Ovis aries: one gene and its partners. The protein of the gene in region 6 purifies or fractionates together with the protein of the main gene of each other region. This does not show direct contact. Links are inferred from orthologs where the notes say so. Each region holds a gene or a part of one and is shown on either strand. Other genes may lie near its edges. The genes, in order: HNRNPC, RBM17, SNRNP200, PHF5A, ZC3H18, SF3A1 and SNRPB.

The links.
Region 1: the proteins of SF3A1 (region 6) and HNRNPC fractionate together in Homo sapiens (co-fractionation; 3 studies listed by BioGRID and IntAct, with this or other methods). This does not show direct contact. The link is inferred for Ovis aries from reciprocal best matches to the Homo sapiens genes SF3A1 and HNRNPC.
Region 2: the proteins of SF3A1 (region 6) and RBM17 purify together in Homo sapiens (affinity purification with mass spectrometry; 4 studies listed by BioGRID and IntAct, counting the BioPlex papers as one, with this or other methods). This does not show direct contact. The link is inferred for Ovis aries from reciprocal best matches to the Homo sapiens genes SF3A1 and RBM17.
Region 3: the proteins of SF3A1 (region 6) and SNRNP200 fractionate together in Homo sapiens (co-fractionation; 3 studies listed by BioGRID and IntAct, with this or other methods). This does not show direct contact. The link is inferred for Ovis aries from reciprocal best matches to the Homo sapiens genes SF3A1 and SNRNP200.
Region 4: the proteins of SF3A1 (region 6) and PHF5A purify together in Homo sapiens (affinity purification with mass spectrometry; 3 studies listed by BioGRID and IntAct, with this or other methods). This does not show direct contact. The link is inferred for Ovis aries from reciprocal best matches to the Homo sapiens genes SF3A1 and PHF5A.
Region 5: the proteins of SF3A1 (region 6) and ZC3H18 purify together in Homo sapiens (affinity purification with mass spectrometry; 3 studies listed by BioGRID and IntAct, with this or other methods). This does not show direct contact. The link is inferred for Ovis aries from reciprocal best matches to the Homo sapiens genes SF3A1 and ZC3H18.
Region 7: the proteins of SF3A1 (region 6) and SNRPB purify together in Homo sapiens (affinity purification with mass spectrometry; 3 studies listed by BioGRID and IntAct, with this or other methods). This does not show direct contact. The link is inferred for Ovis aries from reciprocal best matches to the Homo sapiens genes SF3A1 and SNRPB.

Annotation. Positions count from the first base shown.
Region 1 is NC_056060.1:24,263,196-24,266,855, reverse strand, and holds part of HNRNPC (heterogeneous nuclear ribonucleoproteins C1/C2), read right to left. Parts: intron 2,326-3,660; coding exon 2,165-2,325; intron 1,612-2,164; coding exon 1,498-1,611; intron 1,256-1,497; coding exon 1,095-1,255; coding exon of another isoform or gene 1,026-1,094; exon of another isoform or gene 996-1,025; coding exon 912-995; 3' UTR 1-911. UniProt on the Homo sapiens protein: Binds pre-mRNA and nucleates the assembly of 40S hnRNP particles. Interacts with poly-U tracts in the 3'-UTR or 5'-UTR of mRNA and modulates the stability and the level of translation of bound mRNA molecules. Single HNRNPC tetramers bind 230-240 nucleotides.
Region 2 is NC_056066.1:10,884,795-10,888,454, reverse strand, and holds part of RBM17 (splicing factor 45), read right to left. Parts: exon of another isoform or gene 1,986-3,660; intron 1,390-1,985; 5' UTR 1,375-1,389; coding exon 1,252-1,374; intron 712-1,251; coding exon 595-711; intron 1-594. UniProt on the Homo sapiens protein: Splice factor that binds to the single-stranded 3'AG at the exon/intron border and promotes its utilization in the second catalytic step. Involved in the regulation of alternative splicing and the utilization of cryptic splice sites.
Region 3 is NC_056056.1:104,085,635-104,089,294, forward strand, and holds part of SNRNP200 (U5 small nuclear ribonucleoprotein 200 kDa helicase), read left to right. Parts: intron 1-611; coding exon 612-720; intron 721-1,450; coding exon 1,451-1,559; intron 1,560-2,044; coding exon 2,045-2,234; intron 2,235-2,331; coding exon 2,332-2,496; intron 2,497-2,668; coding exon 2,669-2,790; intron 2,791-3,057; coding exon 3,058-3,201; intron 3,202-3,293; coding exon 3,294-3,470; intron 3,471-3,660. UniProt on the Homo sapiens protein: Catalyzes the ATP-dependent unwinding of U4/U6 RNA duplices, an essential step in the assembly of a catalytically active spliceosome. Plays a role in pre-mRNA splicing as a core component of precatalytic, catalytic and postcatalytic spliceosomal complexes.
Region 4 is NC_056056.1:218,391,169-218,395,488, reverse strand, and holds the start of PHF5A (PHD finger-like domain-containing protein 5A), read left to right. Parts: upstream 1-1,462; 5' UTR 1,463-1,497; coding exon 1,498-1,549; intron 1,550-1,980; coding exon 1,981-2,004; intron 2,005-2,499; coding exon 2,500-2,666; intron 2,667-4,320. Other genes in the region: ACO2 (aconitate hydratase, mitochondrial), read right to left, coding at 928-963.
Region 5 is NC_056067.1:13,383,412-13,387,071, reverse strand, and holds part of ZC3H18 (zinc finger CCCH domain-containing protein 18), read right to left. Parts: intron 407-3,660; 5' UTR 393-406; coding exon 1-392.
Region 6 is NC_056070.1:69,359,832-69,363,491, reverse strand, and holds part of SF3A1 (splicing factor 3A subunit 1), read left to right. Parts: intron 1-805; coding exon 806-927; intron 928-3,660. UniProt on the Homo sapiens protein: Component of the 17S U2 SnRNP complex of the spliceosome, a large ribonucleoprotein complex that removes introns from transcribed pre-mRNAs.
Region 7 is NC_056066.1:52,392,348-52,396,503, reverse strand, and holds the start of SNRPB (small nuclear ribonucleoprotein-associated proteins B and B'), read right to left. Parts: upstream 2,873-4,156; 5' UTR 2,770-2,872; coding exon 2,767-2,769; intron 92-2,766; coding exon 1-91. UniProt on the Homo sapiens protein: Plays a role in pre-mRNA splicing as a core component of the spliceosomal U1, U2, U4 and U5 small nuclear ribonucleoproteins (snRNPs), the building blocks of the spliceosome.

The DNA of each region.
Region 1 (3,660 bases), on a different chromosome or scaffold from region 6:
AACTTTTTCATTAGGCCTTAAAAGCCATTTTTGCAAACAAATCTCCACTTCAATCCAAGTTACTTGTCTCCTTGATTCAACACCCACCCCAATGAAACCTAAGTTGAAGTGTATGTTGGTATGCATAATAATTTTGACTCAAAGATATTTATCTAGTACATTCTAGGGGTTTTGTGAAGGCTGCTGTGAAACAAAGAATTTGAAGTAAACAATTATAAAATACAAAAATAAAAAAATCAGGGTATTTATTTTTTCTCCAAATTCCTGGTTTAATAAGGTCTTGTTTATTTTGAGAAAAAAAGGTCCCAAACATCAGGCTGTTCACAAAAATAACCCACAGTATCAACTTTAGAAAACAAATCTTAAGACTATTACACTAGTTATTTTTCTAGAGGATGCACTTAACATGCCAACTCTCATTCACAAAAATACATTGTTACATTTGTGTTGAACAGCCCCACACAGCACTCTTATGTGGGGTATAACACACATACCTCTAACTCAAAGCTGCTCTCAGGTTCTACTCAACTAATGAGACTGCCTTTGTAGTTAGGGAAGCAACTATTGTATGAATGGAAAGAACTGTACTCCCTGTATAACAAGAGATTATTTTGGAGACAGTTGATAAAAACCATACATCCTTTTTATTGTTAAGTCATAAAGAGGTATCAAAATTAAAAGCAAAAATTACAGGGTAAGACTTAACGTAACTACTAGGAGGGTCAAAGGAAGTGAAAATGGGACTAGGCGCAGGGCAATATGAATTAATGAACATGGGAAGGACAAGGATGGGGAGAACAGTGAGCATGTGCTGAAGATACTAGGGGAGAGGATCTGGTGAAAATTTTGATCTTAGACAAGCGCCTAGGTAAAGAAATAATGGGACAAGATTTCTAAACCCCGCTATGTGCTTAAGAGTCATCCTCGCCATTGGCGCTGTCTCTGTCATCCTCTCCTTCCTCAGCCTCTTTTTCATCATCCTTGATCAACTCCAGCTGTGAGAAACAGACACAAATAGGATGGAGTTAGAGGCACTCCATGTGTCCCTGATCCCCCCTCCACCACCTCTTTCTTTCCTTTCCCGTGGTTTTCACCTGGTCATCCCCCCGATCTTCATTATCATCATCATCCAGTAGGTCCCCCTCCTCAGCAGAGTCATCTGCACCCCCCTCAGACTCCATCTTCACATTAGTCTCATCTTTCTTCAGGGAGCTGCTGCTCTGCTCCTCTTCTGACTTATCATTCTTCATCTCTACTGGGGATGAGAAGGACAAGTCTGTCTAGGGGCAAGTAATGTCCACAGGATGTAGACAATCCCCACTAACAGATCATAGAACTGCAGCACAAATCTAAATCCTCCCACAAAATGCCCTTCCCAATTCAAATTCCACAAGTTTCATATTCAATTGCTTTATACCCCACTATTTCAACATGTACTTGCAACTAGCTTAGGTAACTAACTCTACTTTACACCCAACAAGCAATAGGACCACTTACCTCCTTGTTTGCTCTGTTCTTTTTCAATTTTTTCCAGGCTTTCCAGTAAAGAGTCCACTTTTTGTTTTATCTGGGTTAACTCCTTCTTAATGGTCTGAAGGTCATCTCCTTTCACTTAATACAAACAAAAACCTAGATTAAAATCAGATATACTAGAAGCTACCAGATAACCAAACACATTCCCCCTCTAGACTATACAATGGTAGTCAACATGAGATCCTTGAAGAGAAATGGAGCCTATACCAGACTGTCCTAGTAATGACGTGGGGGTGGGGGTGGGGGGCGCCTCACTGATCTTTTGATTATTAGATGAAAATGGAATCTAATGAATCTATTCCCTTAGGAGCAGCATTATTACTTTTGTAAGCCTGCTAAAAAAAACCCCCTCAATTCTATTTTAAAGCATTTTCTAGTTTTAGAAACATTATTTTATACACTGAATGGGTGTTGCAACTCCTTAAAATCTAATGACTTTTTCAAATTACCAAGGCCTTAAGGACAAAGGCTGCCTAGAGCTGACCCCTTAATCACTATTTTCTCATCTTCCATTATTTGATTAAACAGTTATTTGTACAAACATAAAAGTTTTGAATATTAACTGCGTTGATCTCTGAATTTCAACATACAAGAAATATCAGAACCAGAAAGCTGCAGTAATAATACTTACACTTTCCAGACTTAGAAGAAGATCCCCGCTGTCCACTCTTAGAATTGAAGCCACTTTTGCCCCTTCGTGAGGTGTTTCCTGATACACGCTGGCGTTTTGAGGGCACTACAGCCCGAGCAATAGGAGGAGGAGGAGGAACACGTGCTGGGTAACTGTACATCCTATTGGATAAAAGGAAAACAGAATTTCTTCACAAAGAAGTCAGGAAGATTCCAACAACTGTATCCTTATAAAATGATATATATTATTGTCAATTGTCTAGCAATTAATTCTTTTTGCTATGTTAATTTCATTCATAAGGCCAATTTATTCTTTTTAATACTGCAACCGCACACATACACACAATGGTTGCCTTAAGCTCTGGACATAAAGGTTCCTGTGTACAATGGCATTATTGATAGAACCTTACTTTTTGCAATGAATGGCCTTTGCCTTTCATCTTATTCCTTTCATATATGTGCTACAGTATTATAAGGAAATAAAGTACTCACAAATGACTACAATTAACCAACTTTGCAAACAGTGCTCTTATTAGCTAAATCCCTGGCATTTTCATCCACAGAAGCATACAAATATTTATCACTAGTTTATAGTATTAGGTTGAACCATATAAAACTTCCATGATTAACTGCTTTTGGCCTATAGAAACAGGCATTTCATATGTATTAGCTGGGTGTACATACCACTATCAATTCTAACAACATTTAGCATAAGCTCCGCTCAAAGCTCCAACAGAGGATATTGTCTATCTTGTTCACCATTCACTAGTGCCTAAATTCATTGCTCAGCACACATTTAGCTCTCAAAAATTACATATTTTTCAACTGCTGCTTCCACTGAGTAAGTATTCCTGTGACTGCTAAAGATATACCAAAGTGATGGCATGGTACTGGTGCTTACATTTGTAAAGAGAAAAAAATAAAACAAAAACCTTCCCACAAGGACATTAGTTCCAGAAAGTCTTTTTATTCTATGTTATTCTTTTTACGAAAGCCTGTAGGGCATAAGTTAAAACGTACCAGTAGGAAAAAAAACTAATAATTCTAGTTCTGAACCACTTTATTGACTCCAAGGCCAAGGAACAATCCACCAACTGTTCCCCCACCTAACTTCAAAGCGATGAAATTTTAAAACCCTTATATAATGTGATGCATCTCCCTCTTATATGCCTCATCAGTAGCTAACAGTCTCCAATCCTGGCAGTGAGAACATTGATTCTGCAGTCTCACAGACATTTCTTTCTTCTGCTCAACCTTAACAATATAAAAATGTTTCTATTCTGTTTTAACAAGGCAAGTAGGTATGACAGGAACATTTTCCTAATTTAAGAGTATGTGTGTACTATCAAATAAGTGAGGGAATCAACCCTTGGTAAGTTATTAAAACAGTTTTGTTTTACATTCCAATAAGGAAGTTTGAATCCTAGGAAATAGGAAAATTTAAGATCCTGTGATTCGGAAAGTAGGCTCATGCTTCTGCAGGTGAGCTGTTTGTCA
Region 2 (3,660 bases), on a different chromosome or scaffold from region 6:
AATATACAATAACAGAAGATGATTAACCAGTTCTTGATTAGATGCAGCAAGAAAAAATTAGGTGACGAATTTGTGGGAAAAAATGTTAAATGACTAAGAATCCTCAGAAAAGTTCCCTTGTGGGGAACCAAGTGGTTTTCCCTCTTGCCAGACTACCAGACTGCAGAAGGATCAGCTCCTCTGGCCAGGAAACCTCACCGAGAGCTTCAGCGCCTGCCACACAGGGGAGCGCAGTGGAGCCACTGGCTGAGCGTGGGGCCCTGTACTCTCTGACACAGGTGGACACCGCAGTACGTTAAGTGAGAAGCGCAAGGGGGGGACAGAAGATGCAGGAGGAAAACGATACCAAGTGTTTAAATTCTTAAGTCATTTGCTTTTCTTTTCTCCCACCTCCAATTTCTGATTAACTACTGAGCTTTAAACAGATTTAACTGTTTTAAAGTGGATAAAACCAGAGCAAAAATTAAACTGAACATGATCCTGACTAGAGTGCAAGGCCTACGGAGGAGGTATGCTCAGCGGCGTGTGTAAAGTGCAGCCTGGAAAGCAGGAGAGCCCACCCAGGGGGGTGTGTGCTGGGGGCGGGGGGTGTACCTTGAGGCCTGCAGCCACGTGCGGTGGAGTGTCCACGATCTGCCGCTCATCTGAAGAGCCGCCTCGCTTTAGGTCGATTACTGGAGCAAGGACTGTACTTTGTTTTGTCCTCTGGCTCTAAAATCATCAAAAACCAAGAAAAGTGTACTGAGGCTTCAAATCAAAATTCAGATTACTTGTAACAAAGCTTTTTTTTTTGGTCTCTGCAACAAACCTGTCAGATATGAGAGAAACAATCTTAAAACAATAGCCTTTTAATTCAATTATTACGATAACCATATACTAGTTCCTTTTCCTTACAACACAAATCTCGATTTTTATAAAAAGGTTTACAGAAAGATTGGCCGCTGTTAAATTTTCATATGAAATAATACATTGAAAAAACTCTATGCTTGGACATACTGAAGTTTGAAAACCAGCATCACTGCTGGAAATCAAGAGTACTCCTTTCCTCATCCTGATTCTCTCAAACAGTTCTATTTCCAGGAGATGTGAAATGACCTTCAACTCCTATTTCTCTCCCTCTCTACCCCAGCCTCCCTACCCCTGCAACACATGAGCCCTACATATTTAACACAGAGGTAGAGGAGTGGCTCTCATGCCTCGGCAGCCACCTGCCGGGACTCTTCCCTCACAGGTGGGCTCAGCTTCTCTCACCTTGGCCTGAGTGAGAGCTGCCTTCTTCACCTGGAGCTGAGACTGCAGGAGTTTGAAGTTTTTGGACCAGCCTTCTGTTTTTGAGTCACTGGTCTCCACTCCCAGGTCATCATACAGGGACATCTTCTCAGTTCAGTGCTGAAACGGAAAGTGGATAGGGGTTAAAGAATGCAAGAATGTAGTGAAGATTTCTAATTTTCCTATGTTAGAATATGCAGTGGCATGGAATTTCAGAGGTAGGAGGTATCTGATGAGATCACTTCGTCCAGGAACATTCAGTGATAGAAGCCAAGACACCTGGTATCACCAATCAGTGCCCTTTCTAATACCCATGTGCTATTTTCAAAATAAACCTCTAGCATGAATTTTCCTGTATATAAGATCATGTGATCAAGTAATTCAGGAGTGAAATCATTCTGCTCTACAAAATGAGGGAAGAGGGAAGTTCTAGAGTCAGGACATTCTTAACTACATATATTCATTTAAAAAAAAAATTCTACTTTGTGTCAGTTAACAAAAAGTAGAAGCCTTACAAAAACACCTATTACCAGGTGAGTTAGCACAATTAACCACCTTTTCAGGGCGGCAGGGGGGCAGAGTAGATGGCGGGGAAGCTACCCTTTTATAAATTATATGCCTACAAATAAGGGGGAAAACCCAGAAATGATCTCACAGATGTGACAGGAGAGTAGAAGGTTAGACTGCATTAATACCCAGGCTTCCTCGTATCCCACCTTGTGATCTTTAATGACTCTGAGCACAAAGCGAGAATCAACAATCTGCATGTGAATGACTCGCTATCCCTGGCAGAACAGAGGATGAAGACAGCAAAAATGACAACAATTAACACTTGCTGTTCAGTCCTCTCAGTCGTGTCCAACTCTTCGGGGCCGCGTGGACTGCGGCACGCCAGGCTTCCCTGTCCTTCACCAGCTCCCGGAGCTTGCTCACACTCATGTTCATGGAGTCAGTGACGTCATCTAACCATCCTCCGTCGTCTCCTTCTGCCCTCAGTCTGTCCCAGCATCAGGATCTTTCCCAATGAGTGGGCTCCTTACATCAGGTGGCCAAAGGATTGCAGCTTCAGTCCTTCCAACGAATACTCAGGGATGATTTCCTTTAGGATGGACTGGTTGGATCTCCGTGCAGTCCAAGGGACTCTCAAGAGTTGTCTCCAACACCACAGTTCAAAAGCATCAATTCTTCGGCACCTAGCCTTCCTTATGGTCCACCTCTCACATCCATACGTGACTACTGGAAAAACCATAGTTTTGACTGTATGGATCTTTGCTGCAAAGTAACGTCTCTGCTTTTTAATACGCTCTCTAGGTTTGTCATAGTTTTTCTTTTAAGAAACAAGTCTTTTAATTTCATGGCTGCAGTCACCATCCACGGTGATTTTGGAGCCCAAGAAAATAAAGTCTGTCACTGTTTCCACTTTTTCCCGATCTATTTGCCATAAACTGATGGGACCAGATACTATGATCTTAGTTTTTTGAATGTGAGTTTTAAGCCAGTTTTTTCATTCTCCTCTTTCACCTTCATCAATAGGCTCTTTAGTTCCTCCTTGCTTTCTGACATTAGGATAACAGCCTATCACACTCGCCAGGGTGGTCAAAGGCAGTATCTGCTACAGAAGCCTAGGAGGAGGCTACCAGTAAAGCCAAGAGCAGTCCAGGAGCGGGTGGGGACTGCCAGAAATAAATCTGCTCCAGGTCAAACCGAGTCAGAAGTCCACACCTCTAGCTGCTAAGTCCTTACTGCCACATTTGAAAACCTCAACATTCTGAAACCCAAAAGATGGCTCATTTCTCAAAATAAGACAGCAATCTGTTTCTCACAGTTGGAAAGAGGGAAAAAAAAACTGACTGAAAACCCTAAACTACAAAGAAATGCTTAACACAGGAGTTGCTAACTTATGAATACATCGCAAAAGTCTGTCAGTTCCCAGGCTCAGACAGCATTTCGCCATTGAGACTGTGTCACACAAATCCTGTTTTGCCTGTCTTATGTCTCAGGAAGAGAAGGCGGAACATACAGGAAGGGAAGTATCTAATTTTCCCCCAGAGTCACATCTGACCTGGGGCAAAACTGTGTCTGCTCACTTCTCCACCCTTCTGTGCATGGATCTTAAGACCCCGACACCCCAACACCTCGGCTGACCTGGTTCCACGGTGCGTGGGGCGGGGGTGAGGGGTTGGATGCCACCTCCCTCCCTCAGGACAGCTGTCGGCTCCTGAGCTGAGGTCAGTCTTGGTCACCTATGGGTGCCTTTCCGAGTTCCTTCCCTACTTTATACCTGAACCCTGTGATGACCTGAGTGCTCAGTGCTGACTGCTAAATGAAAGGCCCCAAGGCAGTACAGAAGCAGGGTGAATAAAGCAGAGCCCAGGGTACTGGAGGCTGAGT
Region 3 (3,660 bases), on a different chromosome or scaffold from region 6:
GCTTTTACATCTGGGCCTTTGGCCTCTAGACCTAACTTTCCGTGGATGCAGACTCAGCAGGGTGGTTGGGCTTTAGAGGTGGAGCCCATTCTGTGTCTCCCTGGGGTGGCTGTGTGCTGGTGAGTCTCGTTGACGTTAGGCATTTCGTGCAGAGTAGTATTTTGACGGTGCTTAGGGAGCCGCAGTGGCAGTGCTCCTGCCAGAATCACTTGCTGTCACTCAGGCCTGAATCTGCCTCGTGTGGGGCACCCTCAGAGCTCGATCTGCTGCCATGGACTGGCCAGCCTGTGGCTGAGTTGGTGGAAGCATGTTCCAGTCGGCACAGCCTGCCTGTCAGGCAGGAGTGTGAGCCTGACTTTCTCTGGGCTTGGGGGTCTGTTCCAGGGTGACCTCGTCTCCTGCAGGGTAGCCCCCCAGCAGAGCAGCAGTGACAGGCAGACCCTCCTGTAGTACCGCGTTAGCCTCTTAGTCCTGAAACCTTATCCCTGCCCAGCGTTGCACTGAGTTCTGAAGTATAGAGCAGGGTGCGCCACTGCTTGCCCCAGAGGCAGCGGGTCCTGCCCCACTCGGGGGGCCCTGTGCTCAGTCTGCTCCTCCCCTCTGCCGCTCAGGGGCCATCCAGGTGGTGGTCGCTTCTCGGAGTCTCTGCTGGGGCATGAACGTGGCCGCCCACCTGGTGATCATCATGGACACCCAGTACTACAACGGCAAGATCCACGCGTGAGTCCAGTGTGCTGTGCGTTCACGGGCCCCTCTCTCCTAAGATGAGTGTAACCTCTGCAGATCCGGAAGGCCACTGTTGTGAAGAAAAGGTGTTAGGGAAATAAATAGCTAGCTGAGATTCCACCCCAGCCAGGGTTTTATTTGTGCAGACTTATTTCTGATGCTTGAAGCTGCTCCTAGGTTTGGATTTGAGTGGGGTGGGCTTGATCACTCATGAACCATATGGCTGTGAGGTCTGGGAGCCTGCCTGACATACGAAATGCTTTAACATGGAGTCATCTGGCTATCGCCGTTAGATGGGTTGGCTTCCCAGGTGGCGCAGTGGAGAACCCACCTGCCAATGCAGGAGACGCAGGTTCCATCCCGGGTCGGGAAGATCCCCTGGAAGAGGACATGTTGGCCCTCTCCAGTGTTCTTGCCTGGAAAATGTCATGGACAGAGGGGCCTGGCGGGCTGTAGTCCATGGGGTTGCAAGGAGGTGGACGTGAGGGAACAGACACACACACACATTAGATGGATTAACACCTTTGGTTCACAGACCCTGAGCAACAAAGTCCTGACTCTTAACACTTGAAAACTAAACTGGTCTGTAGATAACCTGTGACACTAGGGCCTGAGCACACTCACAGAGGTTTGCTGGGATTCTCCATGTCTCCCTGTATCTGCATTTTATTCTTCGACTTTCAGGGAGGCAGTGTCCTGAGTCCTCTTCTCCCTCTGTCTCCAGGTACGTAGATTACCCCATCTACGACGTTCTGCAGATGGTGGGCCACGCCAACCGCCCTCTGCAGGATGACGAGGGCCGCTGCGTCATCATGTGCCAGGGCTCCAAGAAGGTCAGCCCCGGCCTCTGGCGCGGGCTTCCGAGCCTGGGCCTCGGAACAGATTCTTTAATCTCTCTCTCCATAGGCGTCTTTACTTACTTCCTCATGTTCTCTCTGTCTTCTTTTCTTTCCACATTGCCTTTGTAACAAGCCTTTCCCTGTGTAGAATTTTGTAGCCTTTGATTTTTGTTGCTGCTGTTGACTCTGTGTATTGAGATCTTAACCCTCTGGCTGGGTCTGTCTTCCTCATGCCTTGCTCAGCCCTTGGGGCTCAGTGTACCTTCCTCCGTGGTAGAAATAACCAGTGATGCCGGGGGAACCGGCATACACACCCAGCTCTCCAGGTCCAGACCCAGCTCACCTTGTCTGTGCAGCTGGTCTCTTCCGTTTCGTACGAGCCGTGCCTGTTGCACGGCGGCCGTATTTGCCCTTGGCCTTTCTCTGACCGTACTGTCATTGACTGTGTGCTGTACCGTCATTGACATTTTTTCCCGTAGGATTTCTTCAAGAAGTTCTTGTATGAGCCTTTGCCGGTGGAGTCTCACCTGGACCACTGTATGCATGACCACTTCAATGCCGAGATCGTCACCAAGACCATTGAGAACAAGCAGGATGCTGTGGACTACCTCACCTGGACCTTCCTGTACCGCCGCATGACGCAGAACCCCAATTACTACAACCTGCAGGGTCGGTGGCGGCACTGCACGCATCATCCTCTGGTGGTTGGCACAGCCCTCATTCACCGTCTCCTCGGGACACCCCTGCTTACCTGTCACCTTCACAGGCATCTCCCATCGTCACCTGTCTGACCACTTGTCGGAGCTCGTGGAGCAGACCCTGAGTGACCTGGAGCAGTCCAAGTGCATCAGCGTCGAGGACGAGATGGATGTGGCGCCCCTGAACCTGGGCATGATCGCCGCCTACTATTACATCAATTACACCACCATCGGTGAGGGCCGGCAGGGCCTGCAGCCACGGGGACGACATGACGAGGCTTTCAGGGCCTCGTGTGCTTGTCAGAGGGACGCATTGCAGGGTGGAGCCGGGCTAGCCCAGCAGTTAACTCTGCTCCTCCTCTGCCTGCTTTGACTCCTCCAAATGTCCTTTCTTTCCTCTCTCAGAGCTCTTCAGTATGTCCCTGAACGCCAAGACCAAGGTGCGAGGGCTCATCGAGATCATCTCCAACGCGGCCGAGTATGAGAACATCCCCATCCGGCACCACGAGGACAACCTCCTGCGGCAGGTGAGCGCGTCTTGGCTTCTGGAGTGCGTCTTCCGAGCCGCGTGAAACTCGGCCCCCATACCCAGAGCACAGGATCCCGCTCTTGGGTCAGGAAAACTCCTACTCCCCTGCCCCGAGCTCCCTCACACACTCCACACACATCTCAACCCCCACCACCCACAGCCGTCGTCTCCTCCTTAGCGTGGAATGGTTGTGGGCCTGGGGCGGGTGGTGCTTTGGCCCTGAGTGCGGGTCTCTTCACCAACCGCTCTTTCTTCTGCTTTCCAGCTGGCCCAGAAGGTCCCCCACAAACTGAATAACCCTAAGTTCAACGACCCGCACGTCAAGACCAACCTGCTTCTGCAGGCTCACCTGTCCCGCATGCAGCTGAGTGCTGAGCTGCAGTCGGATACAGAGGAGATCCTCAGCAAGGTATGGAGGCAGGGCGCCGCGGGCATGGAGGCCTGGGCGGCCCATGCGGCAGCAGTGCCCACGCCTGCTCTTGCTCTCTGGGCCCTCTGCAGGCCATCCGGCTCATCCAGGCCTGTGTGGACGTCCTCTCCAGCAACGGGTGGCTCAGCCCGGCCCTGGCGGCCATGGAGCTGGCCCAGATGGCCACCCAAGCCATGTGGTCCAAGGACTCCTACCTGAAACAGCTGCCGCACTTCACCTCCGAGCACATCAAACGTTGCACAGACAAGGTGAGCTGGGCCTGCATCGCAGTGTTGGGTGGCCAAGTCTGGAGGCCAGGCATCCTGCACTGGGGTTGGTTGTGGGAGGGGAGGTGTCTCGTTTTGGCTTCTCTGAAGGTGTTACCCAAGAAGGCGCCAGGGAGCCTGACTGTTGTGAGCTGTGTTCTTTGGATGATCTGATAGCATGGGAATAAAAATG
Region 4 (4,320 bases), on a different chromosome or scaffold from region 6:
TCATAACAGGACTGTCAAGGTCAAACTGTTGATTCTTTTACCACCCCATCTAGTAATTGAAAAGCAATTGAAAGTGGGCTCAAAATACTCCATTCTGGTACTCTCACAAATACAAATGTCAGCTCCAGGATCACACTCTGGCTCAAAAAGTTCTGAGGGCAGGGTGACAGGAACAAAGAGAACAGCGGGGTAGTAGGGCAGATGCTAACGCCACAGCACTTGGGTAACACTCAGAGCAGGAACTTTTACCTAGCAGTTTCATCACCTATCAAATGAGAATAATCATCCTACCAAATGATCATATAAATTAAGCGATATGATGAGGAATGGTCTTGCAATCTGTGCAAAGGTGAGACTACTGTTATCATTACTAATTACTACGGCTGGGGACGGAAGGTCCCCTCGAACTCTTGGCTGTATGTTCTGCAGGATCCCCTCAAGATGGAATATAGTTTTTTTCTCCAGACTTCGGGTTTGACAACGATTGATGCACTTGGCTAGCAAGTCTCCGCTGCTGAGAGATGAGAAGTGAGGCCTTCGGGTTCTGGGCCTAGCGGGCTCAACAACCACCGCGCCCCCCCAGTCACCTTGTCCTCACCTTGAGGAACAGAAAACAAAACTCTATGGGGTAGAAAGTGAGGTCCACGAAAACGAGAAAGAGGTGCCTCCACTCTTCACCTAGCTGCCGCTTCTTAGACCCAAGCTTCCAGCTGGGCGGGGACAGAGCAGAGAGAGAGCTGACAGAGCCAGGGACGCCTTGACCTCGGGCGCCGGAGGAGCGAGCGTGGGTGCTGGCCCCGCGACAGGGACAGGTACACGAAAAGCCGGCCGGAGGTCGGGCCTGCCTCGTCTTGCCTCGCCCACAGCCGCAATCACAGGAGGAGGCACCCCGCCCCCGCGAACCCAGAGGGCCCTCAGTTCGCTCACCTGCAGCCGGGACACCAGTAGGCTGTAAGGCGCCATTTTGTGCACTGACAAAGATGAGGTCGCTTGAAAGTGACGTGCCACTCAGAGTATTTAAAGCCTTCAGGCTGGGGGCGTGGCCTGAAGAGAAACGCGGCCTCGTGAAGGCTGGGCTTCGGCCGAGGCGCCTACTTCTGCGAGCGCCTTGGGCGGAGTTCCCGAGTGAGGACTCGAAAGGGGAGAGGACAAAACTACAAAAAAACACTTAAGGAAGTAGATGCCGGGCAAGAGATGTCTTATCGAAGTGAAAATTTCACCTTTGTACTTTGCAATTTGCCTCTCCCATTCTAGTTCTGGAAAGATTGTGATTTTTTTTTTTAAATAACTTTCATACACCTGCCAGGACCTGACCCCCGTTAGGACGGAAACCTGGCTTTGAAATTTGAACTCGCGAGAACCAGCGGGGCTTGGTGCAAAGAGTATAAACGCTGACGGACGTCTAGAGAACCAATCACGGCGACCAAGAGGCAGGAGCAACGGAGGTTAAAGGTCGGACGGAAGTTCTGTAAGCTTCCGGTGGTTTGAGAGGGAGCTATGGCTAAGCATCACCCGGACTTGATCTTTTGCCGCAAGCAGGCTGGTGTTGGTGAGGCAGCCTTCTGCCCCCGGCTCTCTTGGTGGGAATGGTATTAGGACCTAAGAGGTCCGGGGTTCCCGTCACTTGCTTAGGGTCTTGCCCGGGAGGCGCCACGTTTCCCGCCTCTAGGTTGAAAGTGCAGGAGCGCGCGCGTTTGCGGTCTCTTGATGAAAAGAGGGCGGGGGCTCGCGTGCTGGGAGCCGGAGGCAGGCTGCCGGAATGGGGCTGGGAGAAATTCTTAGTTTGCGCAGGACCTGTGAGGGGCTTCAGGAGGCTCTGGATTTGGTTCGGATTGAAGTTTAAGAGGATAAGATGGATAGATCCCCTCAGGGCTCACTGCAGTCGCTGCTCCTGTCTCCACCGCAAGCTCGAAGATGTTTGTCCCCTCTTCGTCAAAACTTTAATCCTAATTGTGCTCTTTACCGTCTTTTATCTTGCAGCCATTGGAAGACTGTGTGAAAAGTGTGAGTGGAACACGCCTCCCCAATTAGCCCACCTGGCCCACTCAGTTTCTGTAGAGCAAGCAAACGAGCATTTTCAGCGGTGGCACTAGGAGGACTTGGAGTAGACGTGACCCAAAGAATGTCAACACAGTGCCAGGCTGCAACTAAAGGCCACCACCCTCACTCCAGCTTGCACGTTTTAGACACTAGGTTTTGAGAGAATCTTTAGCTTTGGACCAGAGGTAGCATGACCCCATCGACATATACAGCGTTCTGCCAACTAATTTATATAGACGTATCTACCAGGTGCTCCTCTAAGGTCTTTACCCAGTAGTTGATTAACTTTTCCTTTGTGTTGTAGCGATTGAGATGGACACGAGGTAAGTCAGGTTTTGTGATGCCAAAGTAGAGGGTCCTCAAGTCACTGTTAGGAGACTGGTGTAGTCCCCATAGCGGGAGGAGGGCAAAGGACTTGAGGTATTTGCACATGGGTGTAACTCCATTCTCTTCTTATAGGTGATGGCAAGTGTGTGATCTGTGACTCCTATGTGCGTCCTTGCACTCTGGTGCGCATATGCGACGAGTGTAACTATGGCTCTTACCAGGGACGCTGTGTGATCTGTGGAGGCCCTGGAGTTTCAGATGCCTATTATTGTAAGGAATGCACCATCCAGGAGAAAGATGTGAGTATATATAGGAAGCTTTTCATCTGATTTTCCCTTGTGTTTAGTATCACTTTGCCATCCACAGCAAACTGTATGGTCCGTGGATGAATATGTTCATTTAGTCATCTAGGTTATAATTTCTTCAGTGTCTGTGAGCCAAACTGGGTGTAGCCCAACAAAAGGCAGTTATTTTGTATCAAGGACAAAAGTGCAAGAGAAGCAAATTTTGGTCAACACTGGCAATTTCGAAAGCCCTCTATTCCTTTGATGTCTCTCTCATTTTTATTCACAAACAATATCTTTTTTTTTTTTTTTAAACTGTGCCACATAGCTTACAGGATCTTGAACCCTGGCCACAGCAGTGAAAACCCAGAATCATAACCATTAGGCCATCAGGAAACTCCCAATATTCTGCATTTTTAAGTCCTAGCATGGTGCAAGGTGTATAATAGCCATTCAGTAATTCTCTTTATTATCATTAAGGACTGTTCAGGTGGATGTATTGACTTCTGAATTTGGGACTATTCAAGTTGATTTCAGCTCTGAGTAGCTAGAGAATACTTTTGCTTTGATTTTTCAGAATTGCTTGGGATTCTGTTTGGACGTTTTTTTCCCCTTAACATTGTATGCTGGCAAATGCAATTGAGCCAGTTGCCAGGATACAATAGAGAGTTATAGATCTGTACCAAAAACAGGTTTCTTGGAGGAGAGGAGGACAACCCATGAATCACCTTCTGTTCTTATGACAGTAAAACAAAGTGTGATACAGTAACAATAGGCTAATATGAGGTATCTGGTTACCTAATCTAGGATAAGACATAAGGCAAAAAAGAAATAAGAAATTCTTTGGCCATGCTGGGCAGCTTTGGGGATCTTAGTTCCCCAACCAGGGGTGGAACCCAGGCCCCCTGCAGTGGAAATGCAGAATCCTAACCACTGAACTGCCAGCGAATTCCCAAAAGATAAATAATTCTTTATATTCCCTTTTACAAATAGTAGATAATTAAATATATATATATAGGGCTTCCCAGTTCGCTCAGATGGTAAAGAATCTGCCTGCAGTGTGAGAGACTCGGGTTCATCACAGGCTCAATCCCTGGGTCAGGAAGATCCCCCTTCTATATAGATCTTATCTCCCTTATTCTTCAATAGCTTTGTTAATTAGGGGGTATTATTATCCCCATTTTACAGCCCCTCTCCCAGCTAATAAGTGTCAAGTCCCAAGCTTTCTGACTAAACCTTGTGGTGTCCTTTCATAAGTCTGTGATGTGCCTGTGTTGAAGAGAGACGATTCAGCTACCTCAGAATCTTTGCAGTTAGATTTTGTCTACCTCTAATAAGTGGGACATATTAGAGCAGATAAACCTATTTTTCACACCAGTAAAGTCTTCTGTTATTTAGGGAAGCGAGAACGATCGTAGATAAAGTACCAGAAACATAATTTCAGTTGGTGATTTGAACGTTCTCTCTCTTTTGGGGGGCTGCTCTGGGTCTTGTGGTGTGCAGGGTTACTTGCTCCAAGGTATGGGATCTAGGTTCCCTGACCAAGGATCAAACCCATGTCCCCTGCATTTTTAAACACTGGGCTACCAGGGATGTCCCCGATTTGAACATTCTCTTATCCTAAACTCTGATTTTCGTTTGTCTTTGACTGTCAAATCATACCCTGCTC
Region 5 (3,660 bases), on a different chromosome or scaffold from region 6:
TCCTCCTGCGCGCCAGGGGCCGGCTCCTCGGGCACCTCCTCATCGTAATCTAGCTCGTGCTCATCCAGGTCCCTGGTGACCGACGAGGCCTCGTCCCTCAGGTCGCTGGCACGGTCCCCCTCGGCTCGCGGGGGGCTGGCAGGGCCCCTGCTCAGCTCCTGAGCCTCAGAGTCCCGGTCGTCCTCGTCGGAGCGACTCTCCTCGTCCTCCTGGCTCAGTCCTGGGGCCACGCTCTCCTCATCCTCCAAGTCGGAAGCCCTCCCACCCGCCGCGTCCAGATCCTGCTCAGACCCGCTTTCCCTCAGGATGTCATCGTCCGAGAGCCCCTGCTGCTCTTCTTCTTCGTCCTCTGCAGAGCGAGGGTCCCGGTCAGGGCTCTCGGCCACATCCATCAGTACCCACGGTTCTGCAAAAGAAAGAGAACACACTCAGAGCATCCAGCAGAAGGGCCAGTCAGTCTCGTGTGGGTCTCCTGGCCCCAAGAGGGCTTGGACCTGTGGCTGCCCGGCTCCTCCACATCCCAGCGGCACCAGGCACCACAGCCCAGGCCTCCATGGGGCCAGGCTGGGCTCACTGAGCTGGGCATCGGGAGCTCCACACTGGGAGCCACCGGGTGCCAAGAGCCCCAGCATGCCCCCCTCCTCCCAGGGCAACCCAAGCTTATCTTGAGCAGGAAGATGGGCACCATAAACAACAGCTTTTTGGGCTCTTAAAGTAATTTCTTTTGAAATTCAGGAGGATGTGCATTAGGAACAAGGTGACAACACACCTGACCACTGTCTGGAGCCCCCCACAGGGTCTGGAGCACAAACCCGACTGCCTCGGACAGTCCCCAGGACGCAGGCTGTCTCTGCTCCTGCCTAGGTCTCTCCAGGGCTAGGCCTGTGACTGCCAAGTCACAATCACTGGGGGTGATCCTTAAACTGAAGGTCCTTCTGGAGCCACCAAGGGACGCCAGAAGGCCTCCATGCACCCTGATTCTCAAGAAGTACCTTTCCAGGATGGGCATGCTGCAGGAAACAACTCTGGCAGAAAATCATATGTGTTTCAGTAGTTTCAAATATAAAAACACTGTCATCCTAGAAGATTTCTTTTCTATTTTTACTAACTAGATTTAATTATAAACTGACTATTTCCTGGTTTTCCCACCCTAATGTGCAAAGACAAAAAATTGTCCCATTTGTTCTAAACACAGGCTGCATAAGCTGGGGTGAGACAGTGTATGTGTGTGCGTGTGCGTGTGCGAAATCAACACCAAATAGCCAACCAACACCACACAGCCTACACGCGAACACTGACCGTCCACCAGGCCAGGGGTCACCATCAAGCTGGTGTGCAAGAGCAGGAACAGCGAAAGGTTTAATGTTCACCTGAGTCTTCAAGACTTTTTATTAAAAACAATGTATGCCACAGTCATGTTACATGGTACCTTGATGAAACCTGAAAACACACATACCCGTATTTGTATAATTATATAAAGTTATTTATGCATTCATATATAACCAAAGTTTTAAAGTATATCTTTTAAATGTACACCTTCAAAAGGAGAATGTGTGTTTAAAGATGCGCATATCAAGAACTGGTATCTGAACTCATAGTTAAAAAATTTTTTTTGCTGATAACGGATATTATTAAAATTCAGCAAACATAAGGACAAATCACTTAAAATTCATCACTTTATAAATAGTCAGCAGTGAAAGGAATTTACAAACCAATCCATTTAAAGTCACTTAAAAGTAGACAGCTTGGAAAACGATTCCCTTTGCGGCCTTCTAACAACACTGTCCAGAGGCAGGCCTGCTGAAGGAATTATTAACATTAAAAAGTCAGTCCTAAAGCGCTGTATTTTGCTGCCTCCCTGCACAGGGCAGAGCTTGTCACCACATACATCCCTCTTGCTAGAAGAGCAAGACCAGGGCGACTGGCAAGGTGAGAAAGCTACCAAGACAGGGCCCACATCCTCACCTCCTCCAGACACAGCATTGGGCATACGGCAACCAGTCGGGGGCCAGTGGCAAACCAGCAGCCTCCAGCCCCACCTTAGCTGATATCAATGAAATGTATGAGATTTTCCTTGGTATACAATGTCCTATGCCTACCCTAGCATAGCTTTTACTACACTGTGCGTAAGAAACCTCTCCATAGAGAGGCAGGGACTTTCACTCCCCAGTTGCTCAGGCTGGCCCCCAGGACCCTGAAGGCAGGCAGTCATATACAACTGGTCACTAAGCCTCAGACAAATTCCGATTGTCACATAGTACAGTCTAACGGCAACCTCGGGAACCAAGTTGCCTCTGAAATTAATCAGCTAGTAACCAAAATTAAGTGTCCTCTTAAACTAGCTTAAAATCTACACAACTGCTACTTGAGCCTTGCAACATACTATCCTGTTCACTGTTCCTGGCACCAAGGCTGCTTGCCAGTAACATGATAACAGTCCCTTCCTGGGGCCCAGGTGCCAAAAGGTTCCATTGTCATGATTGGTCCAACCAAATTGCTTTGTGCATTTTGGCAAACTTGGATTTAAATCCTAGGGTAAGAAATGGAAGAAAAAGAGCCCCTAGCTTCAGATATACAAACTCAAGCAAGTGGACCACGTCTTTCTGGGACATGGGGATCAGTGTGGGCCTCTGAATCAGAACCCGAATCCTCGCTCCACTGCCTGCCGGCCTTAGGGTCCTGAACAAATTACGTAAACTTGCCAGACGCCAGTTTCTTTATCTGAAATATGGGGAAACAGCATCCACTCTAAAGTCACTGCAGCAGCGAGATGAGACAAAGCTGATGGCTTCCAACACCCGTGTCCCACTCCCCACGAGACTGCCCAGGGGCCAGTCACCCAACACATACCAGAGAACGCACTCAGCACGATCACGTCTTCTCAACAACTCTGCAGCAAAATCAACAGCCACCCGACCTGCGGCGAGACTACTGCTCTGCCAGGCACTGGATCTAGTCTCTTACATCGACCTTTCAGACAAACGTTACCCCTCACAGAGAAGGAAACGGAGTCACCTGGCCACTGAGTGCAGTCCAAGCTGGAGTCTCTACTCTGCTGCCCAATCCTGGAGCCAGCCCGATGCAGAACATGAGCTCCTGCTACCTGCCCTGGGACTAACTGCCACACACCACCATTGTTCTACAGGAAAACAGGACCTGAGCGCCAAATGACTCCACAAATTCTGTTCTGGAATACAGCCCTCACACTGACTGGGGACTTCCACTGACCCAAGAGATTTGTCTGTTGTTCTCTTCTCCCTTCTCAAGTTTTGTGCTGATCCATCTGGCTTCCTGTCCGAGCCCTTCTAGAACCCCAAAGACGGCTTTTTACAGACATGGAAAAGTTACTATATTGTCCATACAGACTATTAGGTAAAAAATAGTGATGATCATACAGAAATCGAACTTGTGACACCACTTATTTTAAATGTGTCTCAAGTTTGAAACTTCCAGGCACTTAAAACTAACGGTAAACCTAACAAAAGAAATCCCCCAAAGGTGCACACTTGTATACCAATACCACAGGAAACGCCGCCTCAAACTAAAATCCCAAGGCTGCTGGATGGTGTGTGGAAAGAAGTCCTCACAGAGCCTGAATGCGCCCCCCAGTTTGTACTATGGAAATCACTTCACCCTCCTCCCCAAGCACAGAGCTATCTT
Region 6 (3,660 bases):
ACAATAGCAGGCCATAGGCTGTCTTTCTTGACTTTGGCAAGAGCCCTTGATAGGAATGGGGATCAGATGGGAGGTGAGGAAGTGGGGGCGACAAGACTGAGGGCACACGGGCTGTTGAGCTACCAGAGGAAGGCGGGGGGAAGGTGGTGGCAGTCAGGAACGTGAGGGCGGCGGAGGAACTTTCTAACATGAGAGGCTTGACCCTTTGTTAGAGGAAGAAGCTGGTGAGGAAAGAGGATTGGAACTTACAGGGCAGTTAACGCTGAGCATTCCAATGGTTTCACCTCTTAAATATTGAATGGTGGTTTAGACCGTGGAATGGGTGTAGAGGGAAAGGGCATTCAAGGCAGGAGTGGCTAGCAAGGAGTTTCCCATTTCTTTATTCAGCAGACGGTGGTGAAATATCCTGTATTAGGCATATCCAAGGATGTGGGGATACAGACATGGCCTTCTGGATTCTGGTTTCTCAGAATGTGGTCAGATCCATGTCCCATCATTCCCCTGCCCACACATGTGAATCACCTGGACGCTTGGTGAAAATGCAGACTCCCGGTGTCACAGAGATAGTCCAGCGAGGGGGAGCCAGGGAGGCTGCTCTTTTCATTGGTCCCTGGGAGAGTCCCGTGCAGGCCCAGAGCAGTTGAGAGAAATGGTTCTTCTGGAGCAGAGGTTCCTAACTCCAGGAAGTCGTGATGAATTGAGCTGGAGAAAGTCTGTGTTCTCAGTAACATCCTGGAGGAGTTTAATTGTAGGCATCCGACACTAAACCAGAAACTTCAAGGCCTTCCTTTTCCTGTTTTCACAGCCCACAGAAGAAGAAGCATCTTCAAAGGAGGATTCTACCCCTTCCAAGCCCGTGGTGGGTATTATTTACCCTCCTCCGGAGGTCAGGAACATCGTTGACAAGACTGCCAGCTTCGTGGCCAGGTAACGTAGCTGCTCCTGCTCACGTGGGTCGCAGTTTTAGCACAGAACTGAATTCTCACGAGGGTAACACCTGGGTTTTTAGAGTGGCATCGGCTTAGGCCTGTCAGCTCATTGGAGACCACAGTGTGATGTAAGGTCAGCTGTGGGCAGAACTGGCATCTCTAACACGGTCTGGCAGTGGCAGAGGACAGGCCCACCCAGCTCCAGCGTCACCAAGAACCTGTGCTTCCTAACCAGGCCTGAAGAAGTGCCTGGAAGACTGTTCTGTCAGAGATGTGTGTCCGTGTCTGAGCTGCTGGCCTGAGGAAGACAGAACAGGGAGTGGACCGTCTCATGAGCAAGGACTGCGTTCCCGACCCAGCTGTGGAATGGAATAACATGCCCCTCGCAGAGTTACCGCGAGGCCGGAGAGAGGGGCCCAGGTGCAGTCGGGTGCATCGTGTGGCTGTCGGCCCAGATGGCATGGGAGTCAGCTGGATTTCCTCTTGTCCCTCTCCATTATACTTGAGCACACCCATGCCTCCTCAGATGGAGTCTCCTTGATAGCCACTTGACTCCAAAGGTCAACCATCCCTGGTTTAGGGCGTTAACTTTTGAACTGGTTGTCACTGTTTAGAAATGAGATTGCACCGTAAGTCTGGATTTCTGGCTGCTGCTGAATTGGACGGTTGCTTGCATGGAAACGGTAGCCGGCCTCGAGCAGAGCGCTGCCCGCAGTCAGGCCTGCGCTCTCCAGGGAACTGCACCTTGACCCCGGGACAGTGTCCCCGTCTAGGAGTGGGCTAGCTTTGGTTAAGGCAAGAACATCATTGAGTAGATGGGTTCTTCTTATGAAATGAAACATAGAAAGAGGTTCCTCTGGTTGGCGTCTTTCACTGTGTCAGGCTCCGTATAGATTAACCTTCCACATTTCCAAGGCTTTGATTAACCTGGACACTGGGTTAAAACGGCTCTGAGCCTGGTTAAACGTTATCGGGCCATGTCCGATTTAGGGCAGCAGGTATTGCGTGCATAACTTTAATATCTGATAGCAACACTCATTCTTCCCCTTTTCCCCGGATGTTCTGAAGACAATAAACAGGAAGAAGGTGTTAGAGGACGAATCGCCAGTCTCACAACCAGAGTAGATTCTCCCAGCTGCTTTCACTTTTTCCTGTTTCCTCCGGGCATTCTTTTTAGGCTCTTGTACTGGTAGAGGTGCTGTCACACCCTGCTTTTTCCCACTTGCCTGTGCTGTGCGCGTGTTCCTGGGTCGCCCCTGGTCTGCTGCATGGCCCCCTCTGGAGAAGACACACCATGTTGCGGCGTTGGCCTTCCTTGGCCTGGCCCACTGCTCTGTGTCTTCCTTGGAGGTTGTTCCAGCATTTCAGTTTGGCGCATAAAGCTGGGAGGAAGTCTCTGAGTATTTTCATTCCCTTTTTCGATGTTTTCCTAGAAGAAAACTCTGTGTGGCACATTGCTGGCCGAAAGAGCATTTTTAAAGATTTCTTAAACATTTTGCCAAACAGCTTTCCAGTCATTTTGTGCCAGCCACAGAAATAAGAATTCTTTCCAAGTTCCCTTAATAATAAATCTGTACGTCCGCATCTCTAGATCTTGACTTGGACTCGTGTCTGACTCTTGGTGACCCCCTGGACTATAGCCCACCAGGCTCCTCTGTCCATGGGATTTTCCAGGCAAGAGTACTGGAGCAGGTTGCCATGCCCTCCTCCAGGGGACCTTCCTGAACCAGGGGTTGAACCCATGGCTCCTGCCCTGTCTCCTACATTGCAGATGGATTCTTTACCACTTTGCCACCTGCGAAGCCCCGATGGCCTTGTAAGCATTTCTGAAATCTCTGAACTTGCTTTCGTTAGTGTTTCAGTGAAGGGACGGATCAGTTTCTCAGGCTGGGTTAAAGCATGCATGCAGGACCCTCGGCTTTACTTGTGTGGGGTTCGCATGTATTGAGTGAGTGAAATTCACCAGCCCAGTGTGGTTTTCAAAAAGGAGTTTTTTCTCTCTAGGTTTGGTCTTCCCTTCCCTGCATTTTCCTGTCAAGAAACTGGAGTGGAAATCACCCTTAAAAAGCCCCACCAGCTGGGTTGAGTCAGACTCATGGTTTTTTTTCCTGCTGAAATCTGTTCCTTATGTTGGAGAATACAATTCTAAACATAGCATTTAGCTAATTTAAAGCGACAGAGTAGCTTGGAATAAGCATGCCTGTCCTCTCGTCATTTTATATTTCGGATTGTTAGCAGGTGTGAGGTTATGGCTTAGGAGGCGGTGGTAGAGGAGACACCCAGAGCCCCTTTTTTAGCAGCCCTTTGGGTGGCGGCCTGGTTTAGCCGTATTTAAGTGGACATTGACCTTGTGTGGTTCACATTATTTTAAGGTGGGGGAACCCTTCCTCGAGCATGGGGTTTCAGCTGGACCAGCACACGGTCACACCCAGACCTCGCGGTGTCAGTCACGCCGCCGAGCGTGACCAGCACTTGCAGAGGAGCTGGCCGGGGTGTTGATGACGGCGGCTCAGGTGGGGTGCAGCGCTGCCTGCGGCCTGCCTTCTCTTCAGCTGACCAGGCCAGGGCGTGCAAGTCTGAGGACGGGGGCCGGCCTGGCTGCCCCGGCCTCTGGAGCCACCCCTTGATGTGTCCGGGGCGCTCTTGAGAGCAGGGCTCTGGCCAGAGGAGTGAGGGAGGCCCCGCAGACGTCTCCCGGCTCCCAAGTCACCTCTCCTGTTCATAGGGCAGC
Region 7 (4,156 bases), on a different chromosome or scaffold from region 6:
TAAAGGTGCCAATGAAGATACGGCCATCTTGCAGGATACACCTCATCCTGTAGTCAATGTGTTGCAGCATCTTGCTGCTCTTGCCCACCGTCTGCAAGGAGAAATCAGCAGGAATGAGACTCAGCTCTTTTGGACCCACAAAACTGCTGCCTTTCCTTAAAACTTCTGCTGCAGCCTTATTTTCTGTTTGTCCTTCTCAGTATTCTCAGTTCTATCTTTCAACCACAGCCATTTCCTAGGAATTCTCTCACCTGTTTTCAAACCTGACCTGTTATTGTCCCTTCTCGTAAAATCATCTTTTTCATATAACAATTGCCTTTGTCTATGTTGCATATCTTTGTCTATGCTGTAGTCATATATGGATGTGAGAGTTGGACTATAAAGAAAGCTGAGCACAGAAGAACTGATGCTTTTGTACTGTGGAGTCGGAGAAGACTCTTGAGAGTCCCTTGGACTGCAAGGAGATCCAACCAGTCCATCCTAAAGGAAATCAGTCCTGAATATTCATTGGAAGGACTGATGCTGCAGCTGAAACTCCAATACTTTGGCCACCTGATGCGAAGAACTGACTCATTTGAAAAGACCCTGATGCTGGGAAAGATTAAAGGTGGGAGGAGGGGACGACAGAGGATGAAATGGTTGCATGGCATCACCAACTCAATGGACATGAGTTTGAGTAAACTCCAGGAGTTGGTGATGGACAGGGAGGCCTGGTGTGCTGCAGTCCATGGGGTCACAAAGAGTTGGACACAACTGAGGGACTGAACTGGATTCAATGTTGTATTATGTTTCAGAAGTGAGAGGGTAAGATGGCTCCAAACTACTGAACCCCATGCATATTAGAGATCAGTGGCCATCTACCACTGTGCAGATTACAGGTGACTCCAGTGCTGTGGAACACCACCATCCCATTAAAAAGACTGAGGTAAAAAAAAAAAAAAAAAAAAAAAACACCGAGTAAAAGAGCTGGAATGGGACTGGCACTAAGAACCCAATCAATGAAGAGCCTGTTATCAGAAAGGAGATGAACAGCTTAGAAGAGGAGAATGGAACCACCGAATCAGTGATTTGTTAGTGTGCCTCCAAGACTATATTCAGCAACGTCAAAACTTCCTAGTAACCAGAGTGCTAATGAGTTTGAACACATAATGAGAATATACAAGCTGCTATACTCCTTAACCCAACAACCTTTTCTCCTTCACAGCCTGGCTTCAAATGTAGTTGTGCTAAAATAGAGTATACAGACCTCACAAGAGGACTGTCAAGTGCCCTTGGCAGTTACATCTCTATGAATAAACATTTGTTATATCAGCCTCCCATTAGTTTGACCAGTCTTAACTCATCCAAGAGCCTTTGAGGTACCAGGCACTGTGGTTGCTATTCATCTCTGTGAGGTTGAACAAACACAGGTTTTCTGAACGTACAAATGCATGGATCAGAATCTTGACTCCTGTTACCCTGGAGACTCAAGTTATGCGGTGCAGTTTCTTTTACATGACCATTTTAACCAAACTGTAACCACAGCTTCTAACCACTCGTGTCTGAACCTTTACAGTAACATTTACAGCTCCATTTGTCTTCTACAGCTAATTCGCACTGGGCGCTGACTGGCAGGCACTGCCACAAGCACTACTTATCTCATTTAATCCTTAAAATCAGACTTTACAGATGAGGTCACATGGCTGTAAGAGGTCAAGCTGTGCTGAAAGCTAGTGAGCCTGAATCCAGTGCCTACTTTTCTAACCAACTCTCTAAACTACACCCTGCTTCCGGTTCACCCGATATATAACAGCTACCTAACAGTTATCTTTCTGAACACAAATAAGTACGTGTCCTTTTGCTTGTTAAAAATCCTTCAATGGCATCCCTTACCACTAACAAAATTAAATAGCATGTAAAGCCTTTAATAACCAGATTCCCGCCATTTCCTCCCACCAACATTCTTCCCTTTCCCCTCTAAGAATCTTCAACAATGCTACCCTTCACGCTTTGTTCTTGCAGTCCTTCGGATCTATACCATTCTTTCCCATTTTCGCCCGAGTCTTAGGACTCTGACAGGGATCACCGAGTCTAGAAAACATTCTTATCTCGCTCCCCGCCGTTACTTTTACTTAACGCTGAATTACCACTCCGAATTATGTTACCCGTGTCTCCAAATAAGAGTGAACGCAGTGAAGAAAGGAAACACTTCATTGTGTAGCCCCAGGGCCTGAAAAGTCAGGCGTACTCAAGCATAAATGCTGAACAAAAGAGTTAAACTTTTCCTCCCTCACTCATCCTCCGTTCCCTCCTCCCCATCTACCAGAATCAACACTGTTTCCGGCCACAAGTCCTTCCACGTCTTTCCGCAACTCCTCGGACCCTCACCCTTCACAAGTCTGAGCCTCTCACTCGGTCTTACTCAGTCCTTCTACGGCGCTAGTGCTTGCTCAGAAGCCCCCTACACACATACATGCCGCAAAGTTTACTCAGCGCCTGTGGGATCCCACAGCGGCTTGGAGAGACCCAGCCCTAACCTCGCGCGTACCAAGCGACTTCTGGCCTCGGTCCCTTATTTCCAGCCTTCTACCCCACCCCCCACCCCGGACCCCCTCGCCCAGTCCACCGAGGGACGACGGTGTGAGTCTTTCCTACGCAGACGGAGGCGCCGCGGCCCGGGCCTTCACCCCCTGAGCGGCCAACCCATGACCTCCTTCCTGGTTAATCGCGATCCCCACCCCACAAGAGGCTCAGGAGCTCCCGTGCTGCTGGTCTGCGCCTCCTCACCATGGTGGCGGTTCTGATGGCTCAGATTCCCGCCGGATTCGTCTTCGTGGAGGCCTAGAAGCCCGCGAGTAACTCGCTTCCCGCCGCCGCTACCGGAAATGTAACCGCAGGGAAAATGGGGTCGGGTAGCAAGCTGCTTCCGGTCCCGGAGTTGGGCCTTGAGTTCCGGCCGAGGCGCTGAGTTATGAGCTTAGGGCAGGGCGGAACTTTGGGCGGTGCTATCTTCGGATCCTCTTTGTTGGACTGCTTCCCGGCTTCAGTCGGTACTTAGAGCTGCTCCTTTTCACCTTCACCACCCATTCCCCCGCGTCCCAGCCCGTTAACTTTCGGTCCTCATCTCCCAGCACTTTATCCCGGCTCTCTTGTCTACAGGACTTTCGTGGTAGTTCAGCTGGTAAAGAATCTGCCTGTAATGCAGGAGACCCCTGTTTGATTCCTGGGTCGGGAAGATCCCCTGGAGAAGGGATGGGCTACTGACTCCGATATTCTGGCCTGGAGAATTCCATGGACTGTATCAGCCCATGGGGTCGCAGAGTCAGACACCACTGAGCGACTTTCACTTTCATCTCTTGTCTACAGCCACAGTCCCTGCTTTTCCGTGAACTTACTCGACCTGCTTCTGCACAGCACCTTTGCTGTTGCCTCTGCCTAGAATGCTAGTCGTCCATGTATGTGCACGGCTGACAGCCTCACCTTCATGAATTAAGTTCAAGTAACGTTTTCCCACTGAGGGCTTTCCTGGCCGTCCTTTTCTAAAACTGAAACCTTCCCACCCATCCCTGTTTTATTAACACCTTTCTCCTTAACACTGATTGCTAACATACTGTATGTGTGTTATTATCCCTCCGCATTAGAATGTGAGTTCAAAGGATATGAATTTTTCTTTGTCCATTGTTCATTGCTGTAGTGCCTAGAACACTGCTTAGCACATAACAAGGGCTTAATAAATATTTGAATGAATGAATTTATCAGTCACTCCCATCCAGTCCCATGACTTTTTTTTCAATGATAACCTTTACTAAAATGTCCTAACACACACACACAAAATGTATTTCCAATGCATTACAGAAAATATGACCATTCAGGTAAAGACACAAAAAAGAAAATTAATGTTTTAATTTTTTTATATTTTGAATTTCCATAATTTTTTTTGTATTTTTGAGATTTGGACAAAATCTATACTTTAGTTAGTAATACTATATTACACGCTAATTTTCTTGTTTTTTTTGCAGCATATTTCTTTATATATTCAGAATTGAATTAGAAGTGTCAAGCCTAATTCAAATTTTTTTTATCACTAAGATAATAAACTTTTAAGACTTTTTTTCTAGATGCCAAAATACATGGAAGTATTTCAGAATTTTAAGTGAATATAAATTAGAAGTCTAGA